Linked DNA regions of Styela clava. The protein of the gene in region 1 binds, or shares a complex with, the protein of each later gene. Links are inferred from orthologs where the notes say so. Each region holds a gene or a part of one and is shown in the gene's direction. Other genes may lie near its edges. The genes, in order: E3 SUMO-protein ligase RanBP2-like, nuclear pore complex protein Nup160-like, nuclear pore complex protein Nup93-like and nuclear pore complex protein Nup85-like.

Evidence for each region.
Region 2: E3 SUMO-protein ligase RanBP2-like (region 1) and nuclear pore complex protein Nup160-like share a complex: the UniProt entries of both Homo sapiens proteins name them as parts of the nuclear pore complex. The link is inferred for Styela clava from reciprocal best matches to the Homo sapiens genes RANBP2 and NUP160.
Region 3: E3 SUMO-protein ligase RanBP2-like (region 1) and nuclear pore complex protein Nup93-like share a complex: the UniProt entries of both Homo sapiens proteins name them as parts of the nuclear pore complex. The link is inferred for Styela clava from reciprocal best matches to the Homo sapiens genes RANBP2 and NUP93.
Region 4: E3 SUMO-protein ligase RanBP2-like (region 1) and nuclear pore complex protein Nup85-like share a complex: the UniProt entries of both Homo sapiens proteins name them as parts of the nuclear pore complex. The link is inferred for Styela clava from reciprocal best matches to the Homo sapiens genes RANBP2 and NUP85.

The regions. Positions count from the first base shown.
Region 1 is NC_135258.1:17,858,330-17,866,249, reverse strand, and holds the start of E3 SUMO-protein ligase RanBP2-like, read left to right. Parts: upstream 1-4,842; 5' UTR 4,843-4,884; coding exon 4,885-4,956; intron 4,957-5,650; coding exon 5,651-5,857; intron 5,858-6,720; coding exon 6,721-6,852; intron 6,853-7,176; coding exon 7,177-7,296; intron 7,297-7,363; coding exon 7,364-7,483; intron 7,484-7,920. Other genes in the region: dehydrogenase/reductase SDR family protein 7-like, read left to right, coding at 2,761-3,687. UniProt on the Homo sapiens protein: E3 SUMO-protein ligase which facilitates SUMO1 and SUMO2 conjugation by UBE2I. Involved in transport factor (Ran-GTP, karyopherin)-mediated protein import via the F-G repeat-containing domain which acts as a docking site for substrates.
Region 2 is NC_135250.1:6,156,430-6,164,774, reverse strand, and holds the start of nuclear pore complex protein Nup160-like, read left to right. Parts: upstream 1-4,983; 5' UTR 4,984-5,005; coding exon 5,006-8,345. Other genes in the region: GA-binding protein alpha chain-like, read left to right, coding at 2,351-3,577. UniProt on the Homo sapiens protein: Functions as a component of the nuclear pore complex (NPC). Involved in poly(A)+ RNA transport.
Region 3 is NC_135264.1:9,870,058-9,877,416, forward strand, and holds the start of nuclear pore complex protein Nup93-like, read left to right. Parts: upstream 1-3,914; 5' UTR 3,915-4,128; coding exon 4,129-6,549; 3' UTR 6,550-7,359. UniProt on the Homo sapiens protein: Plays a role in the nuclear pore complex (NPC) assembly and/or maintenance. May anchor nucleoporins, but not NUP153 and TPR, to the NPC. During renal development, regulates podocyte migration and proliferation through SMAD4 signaling.
Region 4 is NC_135263.1:560,458-568,347, reverse strand, and holds nuclear pore complex protein Nup85-like, read left to right. Parts: upstream 1-4,738; 5' UTR 4,739-4,832; coding exon 4,833-6,770; 3' UTR 6,771-7,501; downstream 7,502-7,890. UniProt on the Homo sapiens protein: Essential component of the nuclear pore complex (NPC) that seems to be required for NPC assembly and maintenance. As part of the NPC Nup107-160 subcomplex plays a role in RNA export and in tethering NUP96/Nup98 and NUP153 to the nucleus.

The DNA.
Region 1 (7,920 bases):
TTCGAATATTTTTTATTATACCGAAAAAACAACCGGGGCATTGCCCCGGTTGGCCCTATTGACGCGCCGCCACTGTGTACCGGTATGTATGTTTATTTGTCTCAAAAATGTAACAATTTAGCGAATTGTAGCCATGAACTCGAATTTGTATGTGCTTCATTAACTTGATTCATAAGATATTGTTGTTTTTGTTATTTACGGTAGGTATGAGTTTATTTCGAATCCATGATCAGCATAAAACGGGCCCCGCAAGTAAAAAAAAGGTCAAATAAATAATAAAAACTGATTATAGAATCAAGGTAGCAAACTAAACCATAAGTACAGTTTATGACCTATGCGTGCTACATAATACGTGTGAGCTGGAGGGTTTTTACATAACACAAGTGCTTCGTGTTCAGCCATCCAAAGGTACCGGTATGTGTGGCCACAGAGATATAACAAAGTCCAAAAAAATGAGAAATTACATAGTAAAAATATTCCAGGGTCAAGGGTCGGGGAAACAACCTGTTCCCCTTGTCATAATGGCGCGAGAGTTTCTCTATGTCCAATGTGGCCAATCGCCAATCTGCCAATGGCTGAAATGAGCCAGGTGTATATCAATAGTTCAACTGAAATCATAAAACGGTACCAGGTGTATGCGGTTCTGATCTTTGGCTATTATTAGCATAATATTATTATGATAATATACACCTGTTACCGGTACCGTACAGTGTTACCTTACCGGTAACGGTAACAGTACTGTGTTACGATCGGTTTGGGAGAAAATAGAAAGACTGAAAGATAGATACCGCCATACCGGTACTGTGTTGCGATCGGTTTGGGAGAAAATAGAAAGACTGAAAGATAGATACCGCCATACAGCCATACCGGTCCCAGTTCCGGTAATTTATTTTGAAAATTCCACATTAATACAGTACGGTACCGGTACAGCGGTACAGATTAAAAATAGAGAATTCTATAGAGCGAGTAAAACTTCCAAGTTTAAAACATGAGAAAGAATACCGGTACCAAAAACAAAATTACGGTAGGGCCTACTTAAATTTATTAAACTGGGCTGTACAGTCCTCCGCTCAGCCGATTACGAGATATCTTGTTGGACAGTTGGATCCATATCATACAATAAACACATTCTGACATTTGTCTCGTGAACGAGAGCACCTGATACCGGTATGACTATAAATCTGACAAATGCATGAAATACCTGAATGTGTTAACTAGATGGTAATACTTGTCACATTACTGCATTACAGCATTAAAACTGTAGCCTAATAACATATAGCTTACCTGTATCAATAAGATCAATCGCGATGTGCAGATGTGCAGATGTGCATCGGCCATGGCCATTCAGCCATTAGCCTGCCATATCACCAAAATTCATAGTTGCTATTTGGTGATAATAAAAATCACTACAGCATTACCAGCATTACCGTATGGCACACTATACAGATCGAGCGACATTGTCTCGTTCCAGAGACACCCATTTTACAGATGATCAGACACCCCTCTTTTGGGAGAGGAAGCTGATTTTTTTCTTCTAATTTTTCCCAATTAGCTTCAATTATTACCTAATGCTGTAATGGCCTCTTTAATATCCCAAACATGTTAACACGCTTTTCCCTAACTTAACCAACATACCTGGCAATGATAAAGCAAATCTTGTTGATCGATTTCTTCTTTACTATTGCCTTCACAACATTATTGAGCTGCACAAATCGTCTTAATAATGGATGATGCAGTGCAAGAAAATTACATCCGTCTACGGGCTTCCTAGTTTCATCTTATCACAGTATCATGAATTTCAGAATTTGTTTGAGCAAACGGACGTTTTTTCATTTAAGTTTGGAGATCTATTTGTAGTCCTATTTCAGTATTTGTAATTTCATTCCAAGGCAGTTTTAGGTTGTCTGTTCCACCAGACACTTTGAGATATATGTCTGTTCCTCATGTTTTCCCATGATCGCACACAACAAGTGCACGAAGAGAAAGAAAAAAGTGTGAAAAGCATGTCATGAAATCCTACAGGAGTGGTGACTCCTCTACGGCCTATGGGCCGGGGCCACGGCCCATCTAATTGGGTCACATGGGCCGTGGCCCATAGCTTGATGGGCCGCGGCCCCATCAGGAAAAAATCGATTATCTTAACAAAATTTTTAATTTTTACCAAACTGTCAATATTCGAACCAAAAAAATATACTCCTGTAGTATGTGTTCCAGGTTAGGGTTAGGACAAAAAAATTCAGATTTTTTACATTATAGTTCTATTATGAGTTCGGGGACTGTCTGTGTTAGCCAAGTGAATAGTTTCTTTACACAACTTGATGGGCCGCGGCCCATAGCCTGATGGGCCGAGGCCCAATTCGATGGGCTGTGGCCAACAACAAGTGCACGAAGAGAAAGAAAAAAGTGCGAAAAGCATGTCATGAAATCGAGTGAGCGAGAAAACGTAAAGTTTTGTTAACGTTTCATTATTGAATGAAAGTCTGTAGCAAACTAAAATACAACTTACGCAGAATTGGGTAAAGCAAGTAGAAATTTATGTCAGCATCAGGTGGCCAGATTGTATCACCAAACAAGCCGGATTTGGCTCACGGTCCGTAGTTTGCACATGTCAGGCTTAGAGTATTTCAATATACTGATATATTTTTTTTGTTTTCTAATATTTTTGAACACAGGCTGCCTGTTATAGGCTCTCACCTGTTGGCATTTACATTTACGTTATCCAAATTCCATTTTACAGTTTTTTTTAATACGGGTCGAGAGATGGACCTGTCATATGAGACTGCTTTATATTTAGCTGCACTAATAGCACCTGCTGCTTTATTTTCTTTAAAATATGCCTTCCGCCAATTCACTTCATTGGGAAGTGACAAAGTGGTTGTTATAACGGGGGCGAGTTCTGGTATTGGAAAAGAATGTGCTAAAGAATTTTTTAAAGCTGGTTGTCAAGTGATTTTATGTTCCAGGAATGTAGACAAATTGGAAGAATTAAAAAATGAGTTGATTAATATGAACAATTGTGAAGATAGGCCTGAACCTTGCGTGATTCCTCTAGATATTTCAAATGAACAGAGCATCCAGGATGCTGTTGATTCAGTGAATCGTAAATTTCCTGACGGAATTCATATATTAATTAACAATGCTGGGATGTCATATCGTGGTAACATTCTGAGTACTTCCATGGATGTTCACAAAAAGTTGATGGAAACAAATTACTTTGGGCATGTCTCCTTGACAACACGTCTTTTACCTAGTATGATTAAGTTGCCACATAGTTGTGAAAAATACAAAGCTCACATTTTGTCTATAAACAGTATACAGGGACAAATATCAATTCCACATCGATCAGCATACAGTGCATCTAAATTTGCATGCACAGCATTTTTTTCTTGTTTGCGTTCCGAAGTGGCACGTTTTGGAATAAATGTCTGCTCTGTTTATCCTGGATATGTTAAAACAAGTTTGTCTCTAAATGCCATGACTGGGGATGGTACCAATTACGGTAAAATGGATGCCACTACTGAAAGTGGAATGGAGCCTTGTAATATTGCGAAACAAGTTGTAAGCGCGATCCGCAATAATCAAGAAGAAGTTTCAATTGCGACTTTAAAATTAAGACTAGTAGTTTGGCTCCGATATTTGTTTCCTTCTATATTTTTTTGGATCATGAAAAAACGTGCTAATCGATAGATCTTCTTTCTTATATTAGTGTAGCTTTAAATTTCATTATCAGATCAAATTTTCATTATTTATTTCATATTGAAAATATGAATACCTTTTATTTTTTAGTCGGTCTTTTCTGTTGCTCATATAATGTATTTTGCTCAATTTAAAACAATATATCTTTCGATTTCATGCAATCCAGTCTTCAACCATTTCACTTCTGAATTTTCTTGGTAGAGATACATCCCACTGTAAGATTTCACAGCAATATTTCCAAGATTTTTCCCTCTTCAAGGTTATTAAAATATAGCTTATAAAAATTGACTACCGTAATTATTATAATAATAAATGCGAAAAGTGTAGATCGTGAAGTAAACCTTGGGAATAAACTTGCTAGTGAATGTGCTCAGTGATTTTTGATGGGCTTTCATACTTTATGCATAGCCTGATTATACTATAAGACATAAGTTTAATCAGGTTGCTTCATATGCTGTCTTGTATCCTGTGCTAATTACTTTTAAATTCTTGTTTGAGTTAAATCAATTTGAATGACTTCATTATCGTCATGAAAAGGAAAATGCAGTGTTTTTGTCCAATTTATAAAATTTGTAAACTGCGTATTATTAAAATTATCTTCATGTCATTTTTTGTTGTATACAAGATTTATTAAGTTTTATTTACTTAAATTTAAACTAGCATACTGTTATGTATGGCGAAAATCTCTTAGTGCGAGTATTTATTTCTATTTGCATTGGACTTTTTTTCCCCGAGACCGGGAGCTCAGGAGGCTGAAGTCCTCAGTCGTAGATATACATGCCGCTAATCCGAAATATATATAGGGGGCAATGTTGATACTTGTTTGATTTATTGATTTTACTATCAGATCTGTTTGTTTTCTTTAATGTAAATAGCCTGAATAACCCTAATCACTATCTATTGTGTATAAAATCAACCAAATACTGTTTTATCTGTTTGGATAATAGAATACCACCATAAGGTTGTTACAATACCACCATAAGGTTGTTTTTTTATAGATATATTTTTGACAATACATATCAAGTGTCAAAAAAAAATAGTGCAATAAAGCATTGCAGTATTCATCAATTATTTAATTTGGCTGAAGCATAATGATGATTCACTATACCTTGATTGGCTTTTGATGATGTAAATTCTTATTTTATTAGTTGTATCTAAACTACATTAAATTTAAATTTACCACTACTAATGTCAAGATCAATTGAACAAGTTGAAGCGCTTGTATCAAAAGCAGTGAGATATGCAAAATCTGAAAAAGAAGTAAGTAGTTTACCTTGTTGTATTAGTGCATTACATCTATTTTAGAAGTTGCATTGTAAAAATGTGAGGGAATTGTTTTTTTCTAGATTTTCCTAATTCTTAGGGAACCGACGGAATCAGACAGTGTGTAATTATCATATTGCAATAACACAAATTATGATTGTTCATCAGATATATTGGATCTCCGCATTAGGAGACCCTTATTCTCAATTGTTCTGTCTGTATAGCAGTAGCTGTCTAAACTTCCGGACCCAACCGGGTAAAATTTCTAAAGTGGGTTATGCAGTCACCCTAGTAATATGCTTTTCACCGAAAGTCCGGATTGTTGTTTTATTTCCATGGCATCAGTGAAAAACGTGATAATCATTGAGAAATTACTAGATCTTTCTTAATTTGTCGCCATTATTTCGTAAACTACCTTGAAAATATAAATTTTAGTGAACGTGATTAATTATACGCCGCAGTATATCGCTGATGAAAAAGATACCAACAAGACGTGCACCACTCAAAATGAATGCATCAACGGTTATCCTGGGCGCCTATCGACTTGTTTCATTTCGATTGGTGTCTGTTAAACGATTATGCTATAAGTGAAATTTTCTGAAGTTTGTACATTTACTCAGAGAAGGAACCCAATCACTCAACACTGTCATTAATAAGTTGTAAATCATGCTTTTTATTTATCATTTTCCAGCTTTCCATAAAGGGGCTCAATTTTGGTCGATGGTGGAATGAGGTTGGGGAATATGAGAAAGCTTCAAAATGGATTACTAGATATCTTGTTATTTATGACAAGGATGCAAAAGCTCACAAACTACTTGGCGAAATTTATGAAAAATTAGACAGAAGCGATGCCGCTCTTGCTTGTTACAAAAGCTCACTGCGGGTCAAACCACAGCAGGTGTGTATTTTCTTTTGAACTTTTGTTGTCTACTTATTGGCTTGTTGCTTCAGTTTTAAATGGAACTGTTAATGAAAGTTCCATCAATTCCACCAAGGAAATAATTACAGTAGTTACCGGTAGTTCATAAGTCTACCTCGACCTGAACTCTATATTCAAGCATTGATTCATTATACCATTTGCTTATCTGAATTTAGTTTCAGTGTCTTATCATATCAGAAATTTGATATCAAGCAAGCAACTGTATGGTGGCATGTAATATTAGTAATACAATGATAATTTTCGAAATTTAGTTTCAGCTTGTTCATTTATACAGTCACGTTTGTCCAAAGTTATTGATCAGTGAATTTGGTTGATCACTTTTCCTTGTCCCATACTTGAATCAATACCACGAATAAAACAAACTTTTATCCTTCATTGCTTATACTTGTTATGCATTTCTGAAATGTATCTGATCATTATTTTTGTTTTAATGAGTTTATTCTTGTTTTCAATAATCAACTAATGACAAAATAGAATACTTCTTGAATGAATTATTGAAAATTTTCAAATATAAAAAATATCTATCTGTCCCATTGCTGTAAAATAAGTTTTGTGTTTTGAATATTTGATCACTGTTATTAACGATATAATATACCAGTATTTCTAGCAAAAACTGCTAATATACGGTTCCGGATTTTAGCAATATTTCAAGATGCACTGGGACTCCTGATGGATTGGGACTCCAGGGATTGAAAAAAAGAGTGATTATATCATTATCCCTAATCAAAACCAGTGTTCATAACTTGTCACCTGCAAAGGAGCACAAAGAGAAAAACACTGATATGTTCAATTATGTCATGGACTTCTTTGTTATATTTCAGTACGAGCTGATGTTGAAGGTAGCAGAAATGCACATTAATCCTGGACCAACACAGAATCCAAATCGAGCACAAGTTTGGTTGGATAAAGCGGCAGTTGCTTTACCTAATCATCCACAAGTCTACAAACTAAAGGTATGAACGTTTTAGATAACAGTTACGTTTTCTACATGTTTTTGTGCGTCAGAAAATGTATCTAATTCAATTGTAAAAAACTGTTTTACAATCATAATGAACGTTAGAATAAATATTTCGGTACACCGCTCAAAAGTTTATCCCATGTCCTATGAATGATCAAACTAAAATTTGATATATAAAAATGAATAATATTGTTATTTTGTTAATTAATTCACATTTTTCCAATTATCACTTTGAGTAGGTATATCTCATGTGATATATTGTGGACTACTGCCATTGTTGTAACTTGGCTACACTTATTTCAATGACTTTCTATTTTAGATGGAACTATATCTTGCACAAGAAGCTCCTTCTTCCAGACTCGAAGAGACTATTCTTCAAGAACTGAAGAAGCGGCCAAATGATCCGTCACTTTATGTTGAATACGTTACTTTTTTGAAGGTGTGTGGCAAAAAATGTTTTCTATGTTTGATAAAGAAATTACTGAATTATTAAATTTGCTTCTCAGAATCAAGAAAGACTAAATGAAGCTTTTGCTTTCGTGGAAAAAATAGAACATGACTATTCAATACCGAAAGTTGTGGAAAAGGATATGGAATGGAACCAATGTCTGGTTGATACATGCAAGGTATGAAGCTAGAAAAATACTGTCGAATGAATTGTTAGGAATTGCATCTGAACAATGTTTGTGGTTTCATTCCTATCTATTCGGCTTATTATTAATGTACTTGTTGGTATTACGGGTAACAAATCTCACTCACTCACTCACGGGCCATGTAAGTGTGACGTAACAAGTTAAATTTTATGAACAATATTAACAGTTTTGCAAAAGTAGAAAACATTAGGCTTGTGCCAAAACTAAAGTTAGTCGTAATCTCAACAAATTCCTTGAGCTATTTTTCCACTTGAACATCAAAATTTGGTTTAGTTTGTCTGTGGCAGCATCAGGCGGGCCAGAATGAATTGGCCGAATTTGTCCTGCGGGCCGTAGTTTACCTGTTTCAGCTGTATATTGTAGACTTCTCAATTTGAATGGAACACAACAGAAATATTCTAGCACAAAGG
Region 2 (8,345 bases), on another chromosome or scaffold:
TTCAACTACGCCAATGATATTATTGAAGCGTACATCGAGGAAACATGTCATAAGGTTTTCTGCTTTTAATAGGTGTTTGTCTGGAATAGCAAATGGTGATCGATGATAGTCCTACAACAACATCGATCGATTTTAGTCCTACTATGAGTTCAAAGACTAGCCAAGTGCCTCTCGTAGTATTTGTACCTAAAATTATGGCCTAACCCTAACCTAGTACACATATTACATTCCGATGTCCGCCAACTTGGTTCGCATACTTCAGGAGCCCCCAAAATTGCGTATGTCCCCAAGTCACAGTCACATTTCTGCCCAAGTCACAGTGCGCCATTATGACGTCATTTAACTGCGTCATACAAATTAACTTAAATCCAGCTACGATCAAAATATTGAACCATGACAAATTATTGACTCTCAATGACATAACAATATCATTAGAAAGTTTTTTACGTTTTTCTCAAAACTGCTAAAAATGACTTACGCAATTCGGTTATTAGCGTGACGATATCTTATTCCTAACCCCCCACCTGACTATGCCATCCAAAAATTACGTCACTACGACGTCACCATCACGTCATAGGGATTGCCAAAGTATAATTACGATCGCCCAAAATAGCATATGCGCCGCCGATAACGCGATCTTTCTCCTATCGTGATCGTTGCGACGAGAAAACGAGAGAAATAGCTTGCTCGATTTCTGGTGATTGTCTGCGTGCTTTGGACGACCATCCGCATACTTCGGTGGGCCTTATTGCGCCACTGTGATGTAGGAATGACGTAATTTTTCGGTGACGTAGTCAGGTGGGGGTTAGGATTGACATATGCAAAAATTGATGAGCCAGGCCAACTAGAAGTGGATGTGGTACTAAACTATACCAGACCCCTGCAGTACTGGTAAGGTACCGCAGTGAATTACGCTCTCAGCTTTTCGTTACAGTTCTGATGTAAACAACATAAATTTTGTTGCCTACCTTATTTTTTTTTTATTTGATAAGAGGAAATAAATTGAGTTCTTATATGACAAGGAAGAACCGTTCTTCGAACGAATTTCAGGTACTGGTTAGTTACCGCATATGATTATCGGGGAATCGATATTTATTTTTATTTTGCTCTGGTACCGTAATGGATAAGTGATTTAAATCACTTAGTATTTCAATTCACATTGAAAGTGGGACAAAACAGGCTTTTAGTGGCCCGGAGTAGGCTACCTGTCAATCAAGTCATCGATCTAGTCACACGAGCTGTTTTGGCGTTTAGAGACCGTTTGCCCGGGTAACGGGAATTTTTTGGGAAGTGGCATTAGGGGTGGAGGCAGTGCCTCCGCCTCCTCAGTGGTGAGAAAACGTGTGGAAAGCCACGTCCACTTGTTACCTAATCCTATAAAGTCGCTTTTCTCTTTAATTCCTGGACCAATGTATGTATTGCTCTGAAATTTTCAGTGCATGAAGATAAAAATTTTCTTTAGAAGGATATTACTTTCATTTACTTCAAACGTGTCCATATATTTGAGCATATCTCTCTTGTTGGGTTAAGCATGGCTAACTTCTTATATCTAATGGAATTATTTTGATATTACTGATATATATGTTCTTAATGTTTGTTCACTTGTGGTACACAATATGTCTTTATTTATACTTAATTTATCGATTGTTTACTTCTTGAATAATCCACATTGTGGATCCATTTAAAAAAAAATTCAACATTCTAATATTATTCGAAAATAAGTAAAAGTATATATTTAGGTTATAAGTTTATTTCGACTCCATAATCAGAAATAATAAGATAAAAGTAACTGATTATAGAATCGGGAGAGCGAACTAAACCCCGAGTAAGGTTTGAAACGTACAGATTTTAGATGGAAAGGTATTGATAAAAGAAGTAGTACGTGTTCGCTCACCCAAATTTTGAAGTTTTTTTGAACTCTAGTTCAGCAGTTTTATTCATCTGTTTATTTACTATTCATATCTGCGTATACGTATATACGGTAGATTAATAGTAGAATACCAGTATGTAGATATAAATATCTTAAGAATAGGAAAAATTATGTTGTGATAGAACTGGGACGAATTGGCCAGTCAACAATTCTCACCTAGTTTCCAGCATAAACCATACCGGTACCGGTATTCGTTTAGCTAACCAGTTACAGAATTAGCGATGAAGGTCATTCGTTTGTTCTGATATACCTGTATACTGTGTATGAACTATCATTTGGTGAAGTGGTAGCGGTATGCCAAGCATAATATTATTCTTAATAATATAACGTTACCAGTAAAGATATGGTTTTCGCTAATTTCCTGAAATGTTTTATGTTATACAGTCATAGAATAATCTCACTTGTCTAAACTAAATAGAAATGGAACAAAAAAGACGAAAAGTGAATCGGAAATCTGGGATGCCAGCGAAGTTACATAATGGATCCCACACTGATTCTGTTATCACTATTGAACTGGATACTGGAGTGGAAATATTGAATATTCAGCAATTGGTTGAAAATCGTTTACAATCTGCGGATTTGAGTGATTATGAAATTTATTTACAAGATATTCCACTTAATCCACAACTGAGTTTGTATCAGCAAGGCGTAAAGGTTTCGGGAAGTGTCGAACTCAGTATTCGAGTACAAACTGATAATGGGCGATTGACTATTGTTGAAATTACGAAAAATATGACCGATGAAGACATTCAAGCGTTGAACGGTCAACAAAGTGGACTCTCAGAAAATGGACATTCTAATAACGAAGATTCATCAGAAAATAAAGAGGAACTTGGTATTCCTTGTGACCCAATGGAATGGACATCAGATCAAGTATTTCGCTGGATGGTCTGGGTGGCAAAGGAATTTAATTTAGATGCTTCTGTCATTAAAAATTCTAGAATGGATGGAAAGAAATTATGTTCATTAACGATTGAAGAATTTTTTGTGAAACTGCCATATGGAAATATTTTATGGTCACACTTGTCGTTTTTGAAAAGATTATCAACGAACGATGGTGAACATAATGTAGAAATAGAAAACGATTCTGAAAATATGGCTTTAAATTTAGTTCTAAATGATCAACAAACGAACATATCAGGCAATTACGCACGGCGGGCTCCAAGAAGAACGCCGGCTATAATTTCATCAGACAAAGGTGCTCCAATCAGTACACGTTCTCACAACAGCGGAGGCCAAATTCAACTTTGGCAATTTTTGTTGGAACTTTTAACAGACGCAGACGAACGACACGTCATAATGTGGTTGGGAGATGAAGGGGAATTCAAATTTTTACAACCCGAAATGGTGGCTCAAAAATGGGGTGAAAGAAAAGGCAAGCCCACTATGAATTATGAAAAACTTTCTCGGGCTCTGCGTTATTATTACGATGGCGATATGATCAGTAAAGTACCTTCAAAGCGCTTCGTTTATAAATTTGTTTGCAATTTGAAAGAATTACTAGGTTATGATGCAGGAGAATTGAATAAAATGGTAACTGATTGTTCGAATAAACGAAAAGAACAATCGTCTGATCAAAATGTTGTGCCAGTCAATGGCGACTGTATGATAAATGGTATCGCATTGTCTAGTCTTGTCAATCAATGATGCTTTTCTATAATTCGAAGCCGTTTTGTTAATAATGATATTGCTGTTAAATGGTATCTGTAAATAATATATATCTGTTAAATTTTGATAATTTGCTCAATATCACATACGCCATATTTTTGTTGCCGAATATGTCTTTGTTTGCCATAAAAATAATTTTGGTAAAAATCTTTGTTTGGGGAAATATATGAAATGATACAACAGTAAAGTTCCCACTGATTTCAAATGTCACTGAGAAATTCTTATCCTTAAATGGTCCTGAATCATATAAATATAGTTTCTAAACTCATAATAGCATTTTTGCTAATTTTATGTACCTATGCTAATTTTAAACATACCCAAAATAATACATTGTTAGGATGGCTTGGATTTTTGGTCCCGATTCATTTGAATATATTTTGCGGGTTTTCAGAAGTCATAGTGTTCTAATACTAACCTGATCATTTCAATCACAATTTGAAAATCGTGGTTCGACTTAAGTTATTTGATGATTTGAATTTGAGTGTCAGTATTTTAGTATTCTTTCAGTTTGCTACTCAATTTGATTTATGTAGCATGTATTGTATATTTGCATAACATGAATCATAAATGCGCTATATAACAATTCAATTTTAAGAACACAGCAGTTGATAAAAAATCGTTATAAATACTATTTGTTGGAATTGTACCCTTATTCGCCAGTCTTGGTATTAATAAGGTTATTTTGATTTTCGGCTCAAACTACAGTATTAATTTATTGAACAATTCCTCAAAGCAATTATTTTCTACCAAACCTGGACCAAAACTATGAAAAATGTGGAAATTATTTGATTTTTGTGACTTATGTTCCAACTGTCTGGTTTGCTTCAAATATGATTGTCAATGTCAGCAATATTGTGGCCAGCTCAATTTTCAGATGAAATATTTGTATAACTGTTTTTTTAAATTTTTTTGGTGGTTTGGGTTTGACATCATATTTGAAGATATTTATTTACAAAATGAATAAATGGGTGACGGGTAACAATTTATGCAATCATTTCACCGACTCTGTACCCTCTGCCTTTTGAATGAATGTAATTCCTTTTAGAATTAAAAAAACCAATCGATTTGGTGCCAACTAATATGACTAGCTTAGCTACTAATATTTCAAATGTAAAATTTGAATTTGATTTTTGTACAAAAAATCATCCCATGCAAAAAAATTAGTCAAAGTTATTATTTGGAATGCATTAGTGTCATGTCAAAACACTTTATATTTGTGATTATAACCTGATAAGTATTCTATACTTTCTTCTATTGCCATTTAATTATTCAACTATTACCGGTATGTATTGATACTATTTGTGATGTTGATTTGGTGCTACATGTTATTTTTCTAGCAACTCACTGCAAAGTAAACGCCATGATTTATATATTTTTTCTTTTAGATAGTGTTTGTAATATAACATCATGGATATAAAGGATCCAGCCTTGTTTCTTCAAGAAATTCCTATACATTCAAAGTTTTCGCAAAGACCTGCTCAAGAAATTTCAGTTCCTGAAGGAGAAGGTCCAGTCGATGCATCCGAGAATGTTACATTTCCTGAATCCGGTGGTGGTGTGACCTTACAATTGCAAGATTCAACGAGAGTGATTTGTTGGCGCACTCAAAAAAATTCTCTGGAAATTTTTGAATATTCTCTCGATGTGGATTTGTTTTCTTCACATTTTATCATCAGTTTCGAAGGAACTAAAATAATACCTGGAGTTGATGTATCGCTGTTCAAAAATCGCTTATACATCACTTGTTGTACTCTTCATGCAGTTCATCGTATGTCAATTGATACTTTGTCAACTGGGCGATCTGGACCAAAGTCAGGGGTCAGTTATCCATCTTTACTTTCAAATTTAGCGACTTTCAATTTTGAAAATGAGTTTGAAAACTTCTATTTTGGCGAAAAAATTCAGGGACTTGTAACAGAATGGTCAGTAAGAACGATGCTTCCGGATAAAGGTGACCCATACACTGCTGTTGCGTTGAAAACCAATCAAGGCAATATGGCGCTTGTTAACATGACAAGTCGCTCTCCTCCAACTATTGCAAATATCTACCAAGCGTCAAGGATGTCACGAATATGGTCCGGTATTAATCCATGGGGTGAAGCAGCCGGCACTGAAACTATCTCTGATATTGCAATACTCGTGATTGAAAATCACCCATACGTCGTTGCAGCATGTAAAGACCGTAAACTGCGACTTTGGTCTTTTGAAACCCATGATATGCTTGTGAATTATGACCTATCAGCACATTTTCAAGATGATGGTGACAAATCGAAAGCTGTGGATCTCAAAGTAAGAGTTGTCAACGAAGTTGGAATGATAAGCTTATATATTTGTATGTCGGATCAAGCAGGATTCCTTCAATTTCAAGTGAAAATGGATTCAAGCACTGGTACTTTGGAAACTAATTTTTTGTCCGTTGTTTTTGCTTCCCTTTCACCACAAGGACTACCACACCGCCATCTGGTTGATTATTTTTTAACAGAAACAAATAAAATATTTACTTTGTGGCGTGATACTGAAGAAGTAGATTCTATTTCAGTGTGTGCTGCTGATGTAGGTGTATGGCATGAAGTCGCTTCACACCCATCACCAGTTCTAGAAATTCCACTTCTTCCATATCAGGATGTCGGAGAGGCCTACATGGATTACATATTTAGCTCAGGTAAATTCAGCCCTGTAGCATTGACTCGAACGTTATCTATTCATCAGAGATCAAACGTATCGAACATGGCGTATCTCCAACCACAAGAATTGAAGGAAAGAGTTGCCGCACATATTCAAAATGCGATTCAAGAAATAATTCCGGATGAAGAAATGGATGAGGATGCTTTGCAAGTCTCAGTGTGGAACTCATTTTATCAAGATCTAATTCAATATCAGCAAGTTGTGTCTCGTTCTTTGGGGCTGATAATCAATCACGGTTCTTCACAGAGTCTTGTATCCGTCATCAAAAAAGGTTATCTTATGATATTAGCCCCCGTTTCACCACTTGAAGCTGTTTGCCGTGGATCTGATCCGGATATTTTTCGAACATTTTTACAGCCGGACGATTGCACAGATGCCAATCTCAATGACTTAGCTCAATTATTGGAAAGCCTTGGAAAATTACATAGTTATTTAGGAGCGGAATTAGTAGAGTCAATACAGCAGAGCTTATGTTTGGCTGGCAATTCCCCACCTGATGTCATAGAAGATATGATGCCAGATATTCAGGGTGCTGTAAGAGAATCATCAGGAAACGACACATGGGATAATCTTATCATCAAAATTAATGATGTTTCGTCTGCTGTCAAAATGCTAACGCTCTGCTTAAGCCCTTCAGAATTTGCATTCGATTTTGATATGCCAGATTTACAATCTTGGCCAGCAGGGTCACTGGGGGTTGAATTTATATCGCGTTGTATTATGCGACATGTTGAAAATCGTTTCCAACTCTCCATCCTGCTTTATGTACTTTCCTCATTGCTAGAAACTCTACAGAGGCAAGATGGTCATATACAACAAGAAGGAGACACTCAATTAGGATTCCGAATTGTTAGTTTTGTGCAAGCTTATCAAGCTATGTTCTGGTTATCTACTGTTCAAACACAAAACATATCACAGGCAACTTTAGAAAGCACCATGCAAACTTTATCCGTGCATGATTCAACACTTAGCATAGACCGAGAGGCAAAATCCACACTTGCGCAAGGACACCAAACCGTACTTGAATTCTTTATTTCATCTGATGGAGGTAAGCTCTTACAAGCATATCTGCAGAACCAACAAGGACAAGGTATTCACATCCTACATTCAGGATTGGTTACAAATTTTGTCAACTTTGTCGTTTACCTTATGTGGCCGCTTGGGCCTACACTCACCCTGCTAGATTTTTTGCTCTCTCATGGACACTACACTGTCCTTCAAAGATACATCCAGCGAGAGCTTGGCGATTGGTGCAACTGGAGCACAAAGTCTCAAAGATACATGCTAGCGCACTGTCATCTTCATAATGGAAACTTTGATAAAGCCGTTCAATCCTTTATCATGGCATCGTCAGGGATTAGCAATGAGGATTATCTCGCTAACAAACTGCTGAAAGAAGATGAAGAAAACTTCCACCCAGCAGCTCAAGAAATTATCTATTATACCAAAGTTTTACCGATATTTGAGAGATTAGATTTACCTGAACAAGTGATTACTTTGGCAGAACATGCCATTCAAGTTGCAAAATCACAAGAGCATGATCCGAATGTGTCCATTTTGTGGTCGAGTATATTTCGACAGAGTAACCTACTACAGCGGCATTGTAATGCACTGAAAGCAATAGTACTAAACCCAGATCCTGATCATAGAAAAGATTGCTTGAGAACTCTTGCTGTCTCACTTTGTGAACATAAGAAATACAAAACACTGGTCGAATTCCAATATGGAGAATTAGAAGGCGATTTAGTCAGCATTTTGGAGCATCGTGCGAGAGGCACGGATCTCGCGACATCTCCTCATAATTACTATGATCTCTTATACGCATTTCACATCGAGAGGAAGAATTTCCGAAAAGCCTCTTCGGCTATGTATGAACAAGGGTACAGAATTAGTTGCGAGTTCGCACCGTCTACATCTGAAGAGATAATTGCCTGCTTGCAAAAACAAATTGACTGTTATGTTGCATGTATAAACTGCTTACATTTAACAGCTGTCGACAATCGTTGGATTTTGCACCCAATTGGAAATCATATGAAGGCAGCCTCACAGAAACCTGAAGGAT
Region 3 (7,359 bases), on another chromosome or scaffold:
AGTGTTTTTACCTAGAATTAATGGATAAAAAATATGTCAAATTAGAGCAAAATGGACGTTTGACCTTTGACCCCAAACATTATTTTCATACTTTGTCACTAATTTTGGGAGTGTTTGAGCAACTTTAGATACCGGTACTGTTCAGTACATTCGTGTAAAATTATTGTATGAAAAATACGCTGAATCAGAGCCGTACTTGGCCATTAGTGCGGAGGCGATCTTTTCGTCCATAACTATTCTCACGGGATTCCTATTTCCTATCATTCAACACGATATGGACCTTTCCCCGAGCATCGACTTCCTTGTTTACTTCGTGACATTGGCCAATCAGCAAGATGCAAAAAAGGACGTAACAATGAGAGGAATTTTTCGCGGGTCAAAGCCGTAGGCTTGCACGTAATTGACAAAAATCAATTCCGTAATTACGGCAAAATCAATTACGTAATGACCCCGTAATTGTGATATTTTTCCACGCATTTAAACCTATCATAACAACCAATTGAATCCACTTCTTTTCCGAATGGGACATTGAAGTTGGGTTTTCATATTCTTGGCAGTACTACACGCCATCGGCAGATGTTAAAGACAAATATCAAGGAGTGAATTCAAATTAATTTTATTCTGATTTTTATCTTTTGTGTTAGCTTTGATTTCCTTTATCACCTTCGCAAATTAACCGTCCCATTTTTATGCGATCAATTTTATTTTATCATTACCGACACTGGTATACGGTTATTTATGGAAACGATAGTTTTTTAAAACCACCTTAGTACTGAATAAAAATTAAGGGTTTCTAATTTATTAACCAACGACGAGCGTATTCACTCATTTGATTATACTTGCGATTTCCTCGCGACGAAGACTTGTTTTTGCAGCGTCTTCTGCATTATCCGACATTACTGCCTTGTTAGCATTTTATAATAATAATTATTGATGTCGACTTATTGACGATATTCCGATTACCATGCTTCATTTTACATTTAATCATTTCGCGGACTGAATGTTTAAAACATTATTTGCGATAAATTTAGATTAAATATTATTTATTTGAGTATAGTTTAAATATCGAACTTATATGATATGCCTTCTCCGAAAATACAAAAGTTATATCGCAAAACAATGCATTTTGTGACATTTATTTTACACTCACGACATTAATTTGCTAACTCAAGTCGGCGATCCTATCGGCCAAGATTGACACAAGTTTGGTCGAGTGCCTTGGTATTCAAGTAGACGATAAATCAAAATAAGTTGCCGCATTTGGTAAGACAGTTAATCATACATGGCCGAAATATTGAGAGGAATTGTGAAAAACATCATGCGCAAGACCAAGTCCGGACTGATATATAACGATAAAACCGTTAACAGAACATCAAGATTTTGTAATAGAAAATGGATCTCGCACAGAATAAACACACTGGCTCATATTTGATTATATATGATAGCAGTTAAATTTTTTTGCGGTCCGCGAGGAATCCGTCGTTTTGCTGTTTCTCTGCCGTCTCAATCGCTTTACCGATGCCGAGAAGACGAAGTTGCGTTGGTTCATTACGCAATCTCTCTTTTGTCGTCATATTGCTATTTGATAAGCGCGACATTAATTATCACGGCGAGGTATTGGCGCGAGTGATCAATCGCTCTTTTGGCTTATTTGGTTCCAATTCGTCGCGAAAGCTCTTCGTTAAATTTCACAAAATCGTCGTGTTGAAAGGTTATGGATATTTTCCTGTTTATACCCAAGTATGAAATAAAACAGCCAAAAACAGTATGATATTCCATGTTCATATATCAAGTGTTGATATTAACATTAAAGAATGGTTAAGCATTGCTAATCCACACTTGGTGGGGAATTCCCACTATTTAAACGCGTGACTATAAAATAAAATGAAATAGAAACGGAACATATATACCATAAGTAACGGAAAACTGGAACAAGTAAATAATAAATAAAAGTAAAATGGATACAAATGTTTGATAGACCATGTTTGAAAGATTGATCTCCTGCGTTCATTAGTCATTTCACCCGAAGAAGTTGAAACCGGGCGTGTTAGCGTCCATCGGTCTTAACACAATTCTTCCCCCTATCTACGGTTATTATGTACATTGGCCATGGCCATGCTAGATAAGATGCGAGAGAAGTTGAAACCAGGTGTGTTGGCGTCAATCGGTCTTAACGCAATTCTATCCCTTATCTACGGTTAAGTTACGGGAGAAGTTAAAACCAGGTGTGTTGGCGTCAAACGGTCTTAACGCAATTCTATCCCCTATCTACGGTTAAGTTACGGGAGAAGTTAAAACCAGGTGTGTTAGCGTCAATCGGTCTCAACGCAATTCTATCTTTTATCTACGGTTAAGTTACGGGAGAAGTTAAAACCAGGTGTGTTGGCGTCAAACGGCCCTACTCAGTTCTTCCCCCTTAACTACGTTAATAATTTACATTGGCCATGCCAGAGAAGTTGATAATAGGTTAGTGAATGGCAACGCGTCATGCCCTCCTTCACCTACGTAACAAGAGAGAGAAAAACGGCTGCGAATACCGGAACTCTAACTTCTACTTGTTGAGCTTTCATTTTTCGCAATCGACGAAATTGACTGCTTTGAAGAAAGCTCGTTTCAATGCAATAATTACGACTTTACGGAATTCGTAACTTCCCTTCCGTAACTCAAAATAATTACGTAATTCCGTAAATCCGTAAATTACGTGCAAGCCTAGTCAAAGGTTGGGGAAAGGTCCATGGTCTTTTTGCTTCGCAATATTTCGATCAGACCAAATCTTGCAGGCTGGTATTTGTCGACAATTGTGGAGTTATAATATTTTGGCATCTTTATATTACTGGATTATTGATTTTAAAACCATTTAAACCGATTTACATTGGTGAGCAATTGCAAATTTTCGGCGTGCAAAATTGATTTCGCTCGCGTGCATTTTTGCGGAGCGCTAGCGCCCTCGGGCGTGCACCTGCCATGGAATCCAGTCTGGGGGTACGGTAGGCCTACCTACTGCTGTACTGTGAAAATACTGCAATACTGGTACCGTACCTCTAGTCTCTCTTCTCTGCAAAATAGGATGCACCCACCACCTTCTTCTTTTGCATCTATTTTTTTTTTTATCCTTGCGTCTTTTCAGCCACAACAGTAATCCCAATTTTTGATGTTTGCTCAAAGCCATCGCCAAACCACAGAACAAAGCACCGGAACTCAACTCAAATCTCAGACAACGCAGCGCGTCAACGCAAAGGAATGTTTCCTCGAGAATTCGTTGCGTTGACGCAGTGCGCCAAAATGATGCGTTAACGCAACAACGCAAGTTTACTTAAACAATTAAAGAATAACGCACTGGTGTGAACAGATGTGAATGGGCCCTTACATTGTATTGTAAAAAACAATTTTGCAACGAACGCATAAACGGTAAAATAATAGTGTCAAACGTTTAAACAGCGCAGTTATGAATTTAGTATCTTGTAATTTATTATTCATAAAATTATCCCAGTTTTTCGGCTGATATAAGATTAACTAAACTTTGATTTTCTAAGTTCTGTAATCCCGCCCAAAATCAGGACAGACAACAGCTATACTCTGACTCCCACTACCGGTGAATCTACATGGCTGATTAAAAAAAATTTATTTGTCACAAGACACAATAACTAACAGGAATAAGGCAAAGCTCTGCGACGTGGACGCGTTCGGCAATATTTTGCTGTTTTGTGAGTAATATGTTTCAGTTTAGGATACATTTTTTATTTAGGCGTTATGTAGATGCAGGTTTTTTTGCTATAATATATATATTTAGATAGTTTACTTTGAATATTCCGGAGTACCGGTACCGTACACAACAAAGTTGGAGAATTCTTGCTTATTGTGCTTTTGTTGTTGTTCAACCTCTGTACCACTTACCGGTAGACTACCTGGCTACAGACTTATCGCAGAACCGAAACCGGTACCGTACCGGCACGTGCTATTAATTCCAATGTTTATTTAACTGCTGAGCTGTGTTTAAATTGTTGATATCATAGTAGACTAGCCTACAGTGCACTGATTTTCCAATGAAACACTTTTTGACATAAGTTACCGTAAGTCATTTCCAATATAAAGTTTTAGATTATAGTAATTAATATTCAACCTAAAATCATGTCTGGTGTTGAACTTGACGATATTTTACAACAAGCAGAACGACTGACAGCGGATCTTGATGGTGGTAACGAGTTACCAAGAGTCCAGCGTAACCTTCAACAAATTTTGGACGCTGGACAAAGACTCTGTTCTGGAACCCCAGCAACCCATGATAATGCAGAAGTCAGGGCTTCATTGCTTCTTAGTAGACGTGGGCATGAAATTCCGCAAATTTCTGATAGACTGAGGACGTTAACATCAGCTGCACAGACCTTAGAGCCATTGGAACCAGTATGTGATACTGATATTGAAGGCTTTCTTCGAAATGAACGAGAAAATGCTATACTTGCTGTTCTAGAAGAACAAAAAAGTAAGGCTTTTCAAGCTGTTGAAAAATATTATTGGCAATCTAGAATGAGTGAGTGGGAAAAACAAAAGCAGAGTATACTTGGGAAGCTTATTGGCAGCGATGGAACTTTGAATTTCACCCAAGAATTTTCTGAAGCTGGAAGAGTAGTTGATGACTACAATACTTCTCGTTCGGTTTCTCGGAGTGCTATGGATACTTGGGAAGTTGGTTATGCACAACAAGTTTACATCTATAATGAAAAAGTATTATCTGGATCGATTCGACCAAATTTCGTAGATTTGTGTCAAATAACGGCTGAAAAAATACGAGATGAAAATATTATTTCGCTATGGAATATGGTGAAATATGTCCTGAATGCTGAAATATCTGTAGCGGACAAATCTGTCCTTGCAAGAAGATTGTCAAAAAATGTAATCTCTTCTGTCGTTGGCCAAGCTCGAAGTTATTTAGAAGACATGTACAGAGATTACATGATGAAATGTGTGCATCAGCGCCCTCATGTGGCACAACTTGGTGGACGACCAGGCACTATCAATCTTGTTAAAAGTTTTTTGAAGGTAAAGCCTCCGCATCAAGTTCATGAATACAGAAATATCGATTGGGCGATTTTGTATTTTTGTCTTCGATGCGGAGATCTCGAAGCTGCTTGTGAAGTTGCGCAATCTTTGGATGGGACTTTCCCAGAGCTTTCAGGTTGGATTAACGAGTATGCTAAAGATCGTACTTTGTCTCCAACTTCTGAAAATAAATTATTATTACAATACAAAAGATCAATTCGAAATGCTGGAAATCCATATGCAATCGCTATATTTTGTATTCTCGGTCATTGCGATTTTATGGAGTCACATACAGAAATCGCTGGAACAACTGATGACTATTTATGGGTAAAGTTATGTCAAGTTGTCGTTGAAAAGTCCTCTTCAACGCAATCCGAAGTTTTGACCTTGCTAACGCTTCAAAAACTTCTCTCCGATTATGGAGAATCCCACTTCAACGCTACTTCAAACCCTCTACTGTATTTCCAAGTATTGTTTTTGACTTACCAATTTGAAGCAGCGATTGAATTTTTGTCTCGATTTCCGAGTTTACGATGCCATGCATTGCATGTAGCACTAGCGCTTCACGAAGCAAATCTATTGGTGAAAGCAACCAATCTACATGACGGGTTGATCAGTTCCAAGCCATCTGACCAATCTCAATTCACGAATGTACAACGACTAAATTTACCAAGATTGTTAATGATGTACACTCGGAAATTTGAGTTGACTGACCCAAGAGAGGCGTTAAATTACTTGTACTTTCTCAGAGATGAGAGACATGAAAATGAGAGTCTCTTCTTGCAATGTACGAGCGAGCTGATTCGTGAAACAGGCGAATTCTCGATGCTTTTAGGGGGTTTGAATCCTGATGGTAGCCGGCGCCCTGGATTAGTGGATAGATATTGTGCTGGTGACACAAAGGAATTGATTGCAAAAGTCGCTGCAGATACGGAAGCCAAAGGTCTCTTTGAAGATGCCATCCGATTGTATGACCTATGTGGAAATTATGATAATGTTATTACGCTTCTAAATAGGCTTATGTGTCCTCTACTACCGTCTGCCGACCGTGCCCATTCTGACCGAGTTCGTATCAAAGATCTTGCTGTTTCAATTGCTCAGAGATATCGCTCACTTGCCGTTGAGCTTTCACAGGATCTGAGTTCCACGTTTTACGTTCTGCTTGACCTCCTGACCTTTTTTGACCAGTATCACCTTCGTCGTTACGACACCGCAATGGATATTATAAATCAACTTCATATCTTGCCAACTAAGCCTGAGCAAGTTCAAGACAGGGTGAGAAATTTTTCTGCGTTTTCCGAGGAAGTTCGTCAAAACATTGGGGAAATTCTGCTAGCTACGATGAACATGTTAGCATCTCAGAAAAAGGCTCTGCAAAGCAATAAAATCTTAGAAGTTGGGGCGACACGTTCTTACGCAAGTGCTTTACTGACTTTTGCTGGAATGCTTCCATACCAGTTACCTGGAGATATCACATCAAAACTAGTGCAAATTGAGGTTGATATGATGTGAGAGGACATATTATAAGTACACTGAAATGTCCAAAATCGATTGAATATTCGAGACCATTCGAAATGGGTTGGCAAATGTATGACTTAAGAGGTATCAGAATATTTTCATTTGGATATTTGTCAATTTGGGTATTTGACATCTGACACTATCAATTTACCATGATTTCTGCAAATTTCTCTGCTGAATATGATATTCCACATTCAAAAATATTATCACAGAATGTATGGCTTTTATTAATTTTGGCCTGTAAGCATAAGGTATGTTGCTTGAATGCCAAACACTATCCATTTTGATCAACTTGGTACAATCACACTGATATCAAAATTTACATTGTAAACATTGACGCTTGGCAACAAATAAGTGCTAATGCTAGTCTGTGTATATTTGCTTTGTAAAATTTCCTGATATTAATTTCTCAATAGAATGTCTCAAGTGGTAACCATACAATACTGTATATTTTTATTGATGAACAGGGGGTGCCACCACTCTTAGGTCTTTTGAAGGAGACAACGCTACACATCATAAAATTTTGAGAACTACTGGCCTAAGCTAATAGTTTTGTTGGTAGAAAGTTTATTTTCGAGTTCAAAGTCTGTTAAAAATAATCCTTTTTGCAGCAATGTTAACTCTGCAATCAGTTCATTTACATAACTTGTGTTTATTGTTTAGAATATGTTCCTTGCCTTTGCTATGAAAAAGTCTCTAGACAAGCAGGAAATCATGCACATGAAGTAATTCAATTTTTTGCATTATAATGTCTTCAATGAGTTCAAACTAAAAATTAAAATTCACATCTCTCCAGAGTGCCTT
Region 4 (7,890 bases), on another chromosome or scaffold:
TAAACCATATTTTACATTGTAACCAGTGCAATTCTTGCTTTCTTGATCCGTACCTGAGCGAGTTAAAATAATAAGCGACCCCGTATGACCATGGGATATGATTCACTTATTTATCCCTTAGGAAAGACGATAAGACGGCTCAGTCATATGACGAACCATGTCATCTCGACCGGTTACCAATCCATTTCGGGTATGGGATTAGATAGCCAGTTGTTGGTTTAAAATGGACTTGACCATAAAAAGCTATCGCTATTTTAAATATTTCATATTATAAAGACTCCGATTTAGGGTCATAAAATGCTTTTAGCGATCATAATGAAGACTGGCAGAGCCTGCACGACCCTGATGTGAAGTTTTTTGGTATATTTTAACGTTAAGTTAAGAGACGCCCCTTTGTACGGAAAAATAAGATAGTCGAAATGCTTGGAAAACCTTCAAAGTTCAAATTGTTTCACTGTATCGTTTGTAGATAATTTTCCTGTGTTTTGAACCTCGTACTTGATTTTTATTTATCATTCTGTTTACGTCTGTTTATTTTAAAGTTTCATTTATATTACATATTGCAATGTTTTATTTATTTTATATTAAAAATTCAAAGAAAAATATTTTCATGTCTGTCATACGATTTTCGCCGCGTTACTCGACGTGGCGGTAGACGTTTAATTTTTTAGAAGATTCATGGGATAGGGCAGGACTACCCAAATTTTTTCATCGAAGATCCCTACATAGAGCTTTAAAATTTCTGGGGCCCAGTCAATTGGTCGGTAGTTTATCTTTTCACATATGCCGAAAAAATGCATTTCAGTGTGAAGGGAGTAGAGTTATGATGAAAAAAGTCATACATAGAATATTAACAAAAGCAGGACTTTGAGGTACATTTGGGCGTCCCGGTGTCAGGTGTCACTCTCGCCAATGGAAGAAAACGACTTCAGTCATGACAGGCGGAGTAACAAGGGTCATTCCAGACAATATATTTCACTTTGCAAACAAAACTTAAATGCATAGTTTAATCACAGGGCTTCAAGCACTAAACATTTTAAATGTACGAGTCGCGCAGAAAAGCGATTTATTGCAAACAACAGTAAGAAAAATTCTAACGAACACATCAATTTTAAGTTGCCAATTGAGTAGCTCCCCGAGGTAGGTATTGATGTTTATCGCGAAGAGATGAAAGTCTATATTGGAAATATTGATTTGACACTAGAAACGCGATTAGGTGCCGAATATCCCTGCTGAAGAAATAATGAGCTTTTTGTCATTAGAAGGTGCAGGGGCGTAGCCAGCAATTTTCAAGGGGGGGTCATGCACTCGACAAGCAACTCACAAATAATTAAGCAAAAACACAATCCTAGGTATGAAATGCGCGTGCTCGAAATCAGCAAATTGGCAATCCATTGCTATATTTGCCCTGAACTAGTAAAAGATCAATAAAACGTCATTCGCTGTAGTATAGGGTTGCCAACTAAGAAAAGTTTCGATAAAGGACATAGATTACCGTCATCATTTATTTTGTATCTTGCAGGAAAGAACAATATAAAACAATTGAATAAAAACGATATATAAGCTGAAAAGATATATTAAAACAAATTTTATGTGTTTTTTTATTTTATGTTTATTTAACAATGACCCAAACAATGTTAATAAAATTGGACAGTTAGCATCTTTTCTAAATGCTAAAAAAGGCAAGGACCAAAAATCTTAATTAAAAGATTGTCCTTTGAAATGAAGGACGGTTGGCAACCCTACTGTAGTATTAGGTATGGGCGCGGCGGTGTGGCTCAACGGGCTAAGCGTTAGGAATACGCTCGCCACCGCACCTCTAATTACTCTGCATGGGTTCGCAGGTTCGAATCCCATGCAGGGATGATTATGTGCGAGAGGATTGCTGGACTCCTCGCCGTCGTTGGGTGGTTCACGTAACCGCTGGTCGGTTACGGCTTCCTCCACCACCAAGTCCATGCTTCCGAAAACAAACAATTTAACTAATCCCATACCCGACTCGGAATGGTAACCGGACGAGAGGTCGTGGTTCGCCATATGGATAAGCGAGAGAGGGAGAGTTTATTTCATTTTCATTTTGTCAAATCAAGAAAACAATTTATGGACACATAAACAATTATCAAAAAAATAGTTTTCGGTATATGACTGAGGGGCAACGATACGACCTTTGGGGGTCATCAGTAAGCCGTCTTATCGGCTTTCCTTTCCCCCGGGATAAATATGTAAATTCTATCCTATCCTATCCTAGGTCGTTCAACGGCCACCGCAATGCCAGCGAAATCGTTTTATTCATTTTCTTTCTTTGGCACATGGAATCCTATGCATTTGTGATGTATTAGCGCCATCTTTTGGCACATTGATTCCGTTGGCGCGCATATCATACTGTTGTGCTTCAGTTTTTCCTTTGGCTTACATATTACGGCTTCCTCAATTTAGTAATTACCGTATATATTCGAGTTGAAAAGTGTAAAATAGAATTGTATAACTTCAATTACACTTTATTTTTGCCGAAAATTCATATTCCTTTTTATATTCGTTTGACAATATTTTTAACAGGACGTCTATACAGCCGTCTTCAGTCATTTATCCATTCTGCGATTTGGCAAACCCAATTTCTACAGGGGTGGTGATTCCTCTACGGCCCATGGGCCGGGGCCACGGCCCATCTAATTGGGCCACATGGGCCGTGGCCCCATCAAGAAAAGTTCAATTATCTTACCAAAATTTTCAATTTTCACAAAATTGTAAATATTCGAACCAAAAAAAAATCGTTGGATGCCACCAATTTTTTTTCTTACGATAAGCCTTCATATAAAAATAAAGCAAAATACCAGGCTACAGAAAAGGATACTCCTGTAGTCTGTGTACCAGGTTAGGGTTAGGACAAAATTTTGTTCAGATTTTCCACATTATAGTTCTATTATGAGTTTGGGGACTTCTGTGTTAGCCAAGTGAATAGTCCCTTTGCACAACTTGATGGGCCGCGGCCCATAGCCTGATGGGCCGAGGCCCAATTCGATGGGCCGTGGCCCCGGCCCATGGGCCGTAGAGGAATCACCACTTCCACTCCCCAATTTTGTGCTGGCTAGATATGTAGATATAGGCCTATGCAGATAGTGATTTTAATATCAGATTTGAGACCTTTTTCAGCATTTCCACCAGTAATATAAATATACCAGAGATCAAACTGTCAAAAGAGTTGCAGAAAAATAAATGCGTTTATCATGCAATAAAAAACCTGAGTTTGTGTCACATATTTTTATGTCTTGCGAGTTTACCCAGAAAATTTATGATTTTGTTTACTTTATTATTGAAATTAATTAGAATACATTTTGTTTGCAATAAATTATGATTCTTGTATATTATTGAATTTTCCTGAACCTTTATATTTAGTCATATAGCCTAACAACTGTAGATTTGAATGTAATTTTACTTTTATTATCAATAGTGCGATATAATGTTTGGATTATGAGAAATTTTATCATATTTGAAAATAAACACCAGATATTGCTCGGGTCTGGTATAGTTTAGTACCACACGCACTTCTAGTTGGCCTGGCTTAACAATTTTTGCATAAGTCAATTCTAACCCTCACCTGACTATATCACCGAAAAATTAGGTCATTTCGAAGTCACAGTGGCGTAATAAGGCCCACCAAAGTATGCGGATAGTCGTCCGAAACGCGTAGACAATCACCCGAAATTGAGCAAGCTATTTCTCTCGTTCTCTCGCCACAACGATCCCAATAAGAGAGAGATCGCGGGCGTTTGCGAGATTGGCGGCGCAGATGCCATTTCGGGCAATCGTAATTATACTTCAGCAAGCCCTATGACGTGATGGTGACGTCGTAGTGACATAATTTTTGGATGGCATAGTCAGGTGGGGGTTAGGAATAACATATGCAAAATTCGTTATGCTACGCCCTCCGGAAGTACTTGTGGTACTAAACTATACTAGACCCTATTGCTCTCCTTACTTCCTTAAAAAGAAGATAAAAATGGCCCTAGTGTAGAGAAAAAATATGTAGTAGACAAGACAAACCCTTTGAATGGAATTACGAAATTTATGTGCAATAATATTAAGCAATAATTTGAATAATAAGTAGGTTTATAATATCGTAAGTTTTTTGCATAATTTGCTAATTTTAACTGAATAAGTATAAATAAAAAAGGCCTCAGATTTGAAATATTGGATTTCTGCCATATTGCCTAACTTCCGGTCTTATGCTTTTCCTCTACCGTTTCAAAATTAAATTATTTTTTCTCGAGGAATCCAATGGTGACGGCTTCCTTCTAGTTTATTACGCGGTGCCAGTTTGCCACGTTGAGTCGATATGCAGGCCCTGACTGTTTCATAAAGAAGGGGTTCACTCTCACTGTTATAATTGCAGAAAGAAATGAGGTCTTCCAATGACAATATGGGGGCTATTCTTGGAATTGTAGAAATGTGCCCTAAATCCAATGCTTTAAGCACACTGCATAAGTCAATCTTCCAGTTGTCTGTACAAGTCTACAGACAGACAGAGGAATAAATGTTATTAAATCCCATCTTAACATTTCAGTCTTGTGCAAATTCTCAGTTAAAAACCAAAATATTTCAGTATTTGTAGTGATTTTAATATCAGATTTAAAAAATAGATTGCTGCCGTATAATTGTTAGCTCGTGGTTTTTCACTACCATTTCTGATTGGTATAAATAAATGTTGAAATATGAAATCCTATTTTACAGTATTATTTTAATTTACATTATGGTTCTTTATATATTTTCAGTTGAAACACTAAAACAATTTTTTGATATTACTATATTGGATTTGGCAATCATAGAAAAACAAGATGGCTGACAATGAGGAATTTGTCAATGAGATGAACATAAACGACAAACTTTTTGATCCGTGTGGGATTTTAAGTAGCTGGGGGGTCGGAAATCAAATGATGGTCGCAGCTGGGGGTGACGTGGGGTCAGAACGACCCAATCAACTTGCTCATTTGCCAATTCTTATACACGAGGTACGCTGGAGTAATGAAATGCATTTAGACATTACTCGGAAGCTTTTGAACGAATCACATCGAATTTTTATCGAAGTGCAAGAAGCGAGAAATGACTTTCAAAAAAGTAGTCAAGGTCAACAGTTACTTGTGAAATTCAGTCGGAAATATCGTTCTGTTTTGCGAGCTTGCGTTCTCGAAATAAAATCTAAAATTGAGGAAAGTATAATGGAGGACGTTCAATTGGTCATGCAATTAGAACTGCTGAGTATGATGGAAATAATCTGGAATTTATGCGAAATACTTTTCATCGAAAATTCCCCGGCGGGAGTTGTATTGTCTCGTCTTGCGGAATGGTGCAAGTTTCATTTCACCCAAGCGGATGATTTTATGGAAGAATGCATTCAAACGGAACAACCATATAATCATGAATTGTACTGGAGCACCATCAAGTGTCTCGTCCTTCAAGGTCGAACGGACGACGCCCAAAACATGTTGAAACTTCACCCAGAGTGCCAGAGTCAAAAAGATAACGCATTTTTAAGTATGGAAGAGTTGCTGCGAAAAATGCCACATTTTACGTACTATCGCGGACAATCAGTCGTCGAATTCGAGATGAAATGGAACCACTGGCAAGAGGAGTGTCGTCGTAGGTTTGACGAAGGAGAGTTTAATGTTAACAAGGAATTACAAGAAATTGCGATGATTTTATGCGGAGAAGACGCTGTTTTTGAGAATCCCGATTATGGCGGATGGCATCAAATGTTGATATCGAGACTACTTTTCACACAACCGACCGTCAGCGTCATGGAGTTACAGCATCATAGTAAAATATCTGTTGAATCGTGCGGTGGACATGAACACCTCGGAGCTTTTGATCATATTTTACTTGCGGCCTTCGAACTCGATCCGTATTCTGTTATTAAAGAATGCAGTCAGCAGTTGAGTAACTGGTGGTTGGCTGCTCATTTATCCGACATTTTTTACCATCTTGGGATTCTGTCGCAAAAGAAATTAGAGTTTGGGGTCGATTTTCATGAACTTTTGATTCTGGAGTACGCAACGAGTCTCATGTCACATGAAAGTCTATGGAGAGTTACGATTGATTATTTGTCAGCATGCTCGGAGAACGAGAATAACTATCTCTCTCTATTTGTGCGAAAAATTCCAATTACAAGCGAGAAAAAAGCTTCAAAATTGTTACGTATTTGCCAAAATCGAGGATTGCTTGCAGAAGCACAAAGTATCTGTCGACAAATGAGTGTATCAGCGCTACAGCGAAATCGTTTGGGCGCTGCTTTATCGTGGTGTTTAAAATGCAATGATTCAGCCTTAACGATGCGAATTGCAGAAAAAATGTTGTCGGAATACGCTCGAACTGGTGAATTCACTCATATCGATTTGCTGGATTATTTAGGACCTTCAATTCTGTTATCAGATCGATTGACGTTTTTAGGAAAATATCGGGATTTTCACAAACTTTACGCCGAAGGCATGCACAAGGAATCTGGGAATCTACTTCTCAACCTACTCATCTCAAATATAGCGCCTGTTGAGTTTTGGCCGTCGCTACTCATTGACTGTCTCCCTCTTCTTGAGTGTGAGGAGATCGTGTTCAACGCTTCAGACTCTGCCAAGTTACTCGCTAAATCAAACACTCTCGACCAAATCAATTTAGACTCAGAATTATCGGACTCTGAGAAAGAAACTCGACAAAAACGACTGGAATTACTTAAACTAAATATGTCAAGGAATTTAGCCAGAGCTATTGTCAATGCGGGGTAAAGAATGTTCAAACCAGGGATGGACAAAGTCGGATTATCTGCTAAAAATATTTAAATAACGAATGTTTTTAAAGTGAGTCGTGTTTAGCAAAGACATTTCGATGAGTTTAATTTGAAAATGCAGGAAAGATTAATGCAGTAATTTTAACTGTTTTCTATTTCCGCATTCCAGGAATAAAACGATGATGCTCCAAATTGTTCAAAATTATAATTTTCCAGAATAAAATATTCTGTTTCACCATCTTTGCTACCAGTGAAATGTTTTTCTCTCATTTTACCATATCTTTCTAATTGAAGAGGGTCAATTGGAACTACCGGTAAGATCTGAAGCCCGATCCGAAATTCGGGTCAGGTCAGGCCTGAAATGTTGATCATTACGTTCGGGTCGGGCTTCTCTATCGCTGACTTTTTTTTGAAATAAATATATGTTTATAAAAAATATATACTAAAACTATGTGTGGAATTCGAAGAACTCCTAAATAAAATATGAAATTTTTGGTTCGATTCGATCTCTGCCTGCAAATCCAGTTAATCAGTCGGGCTCCGGTCAGGTCGGGTTTTATACCCACGGGCCCAGGTGGTATCAGTGGCTCCTTTCCAGGCCCTGTTCATGGTAAAACATTCCATGAAAATTAGTTTCAACTTATTTTTGTGCTTGATTAATCTTTGCAATGTGCTGCCTGTTTTTTGAGAATTGGTAATTCTTTGCTCAATATAATGCTTTGTACTGAATTGTTTCCGTGTTTTGCATGTATGGATGGGGTTGTTCTGGTTTACCCTTGTTCTAAGTTTTTCATCTTATGCAAGATGTACTGTAAAAAGTGGGGCAGAGGAATAACGGACTGGATTGTGACTAGTTATAAGCATTTTTGTGAAATAATGTTGGTTTATTGTGCAAGATAGAAGTCAATGTGGCTCATTAGGACAGCGGAAACACGAGTGGAACGATTTTGTTACTACTCCCAAAATCTAGGCTGTGAGGTCAGATTCTACCTCAACAACCATTTAAAACTGACTTCATAAAAATGTCGACTTCAGCTTATAGTAAATTGATAACGAACAAGCCTTCTCAAATCATCTGTTGCAAATCCCATATCTCAATACAGTGGTCTTCAACCATG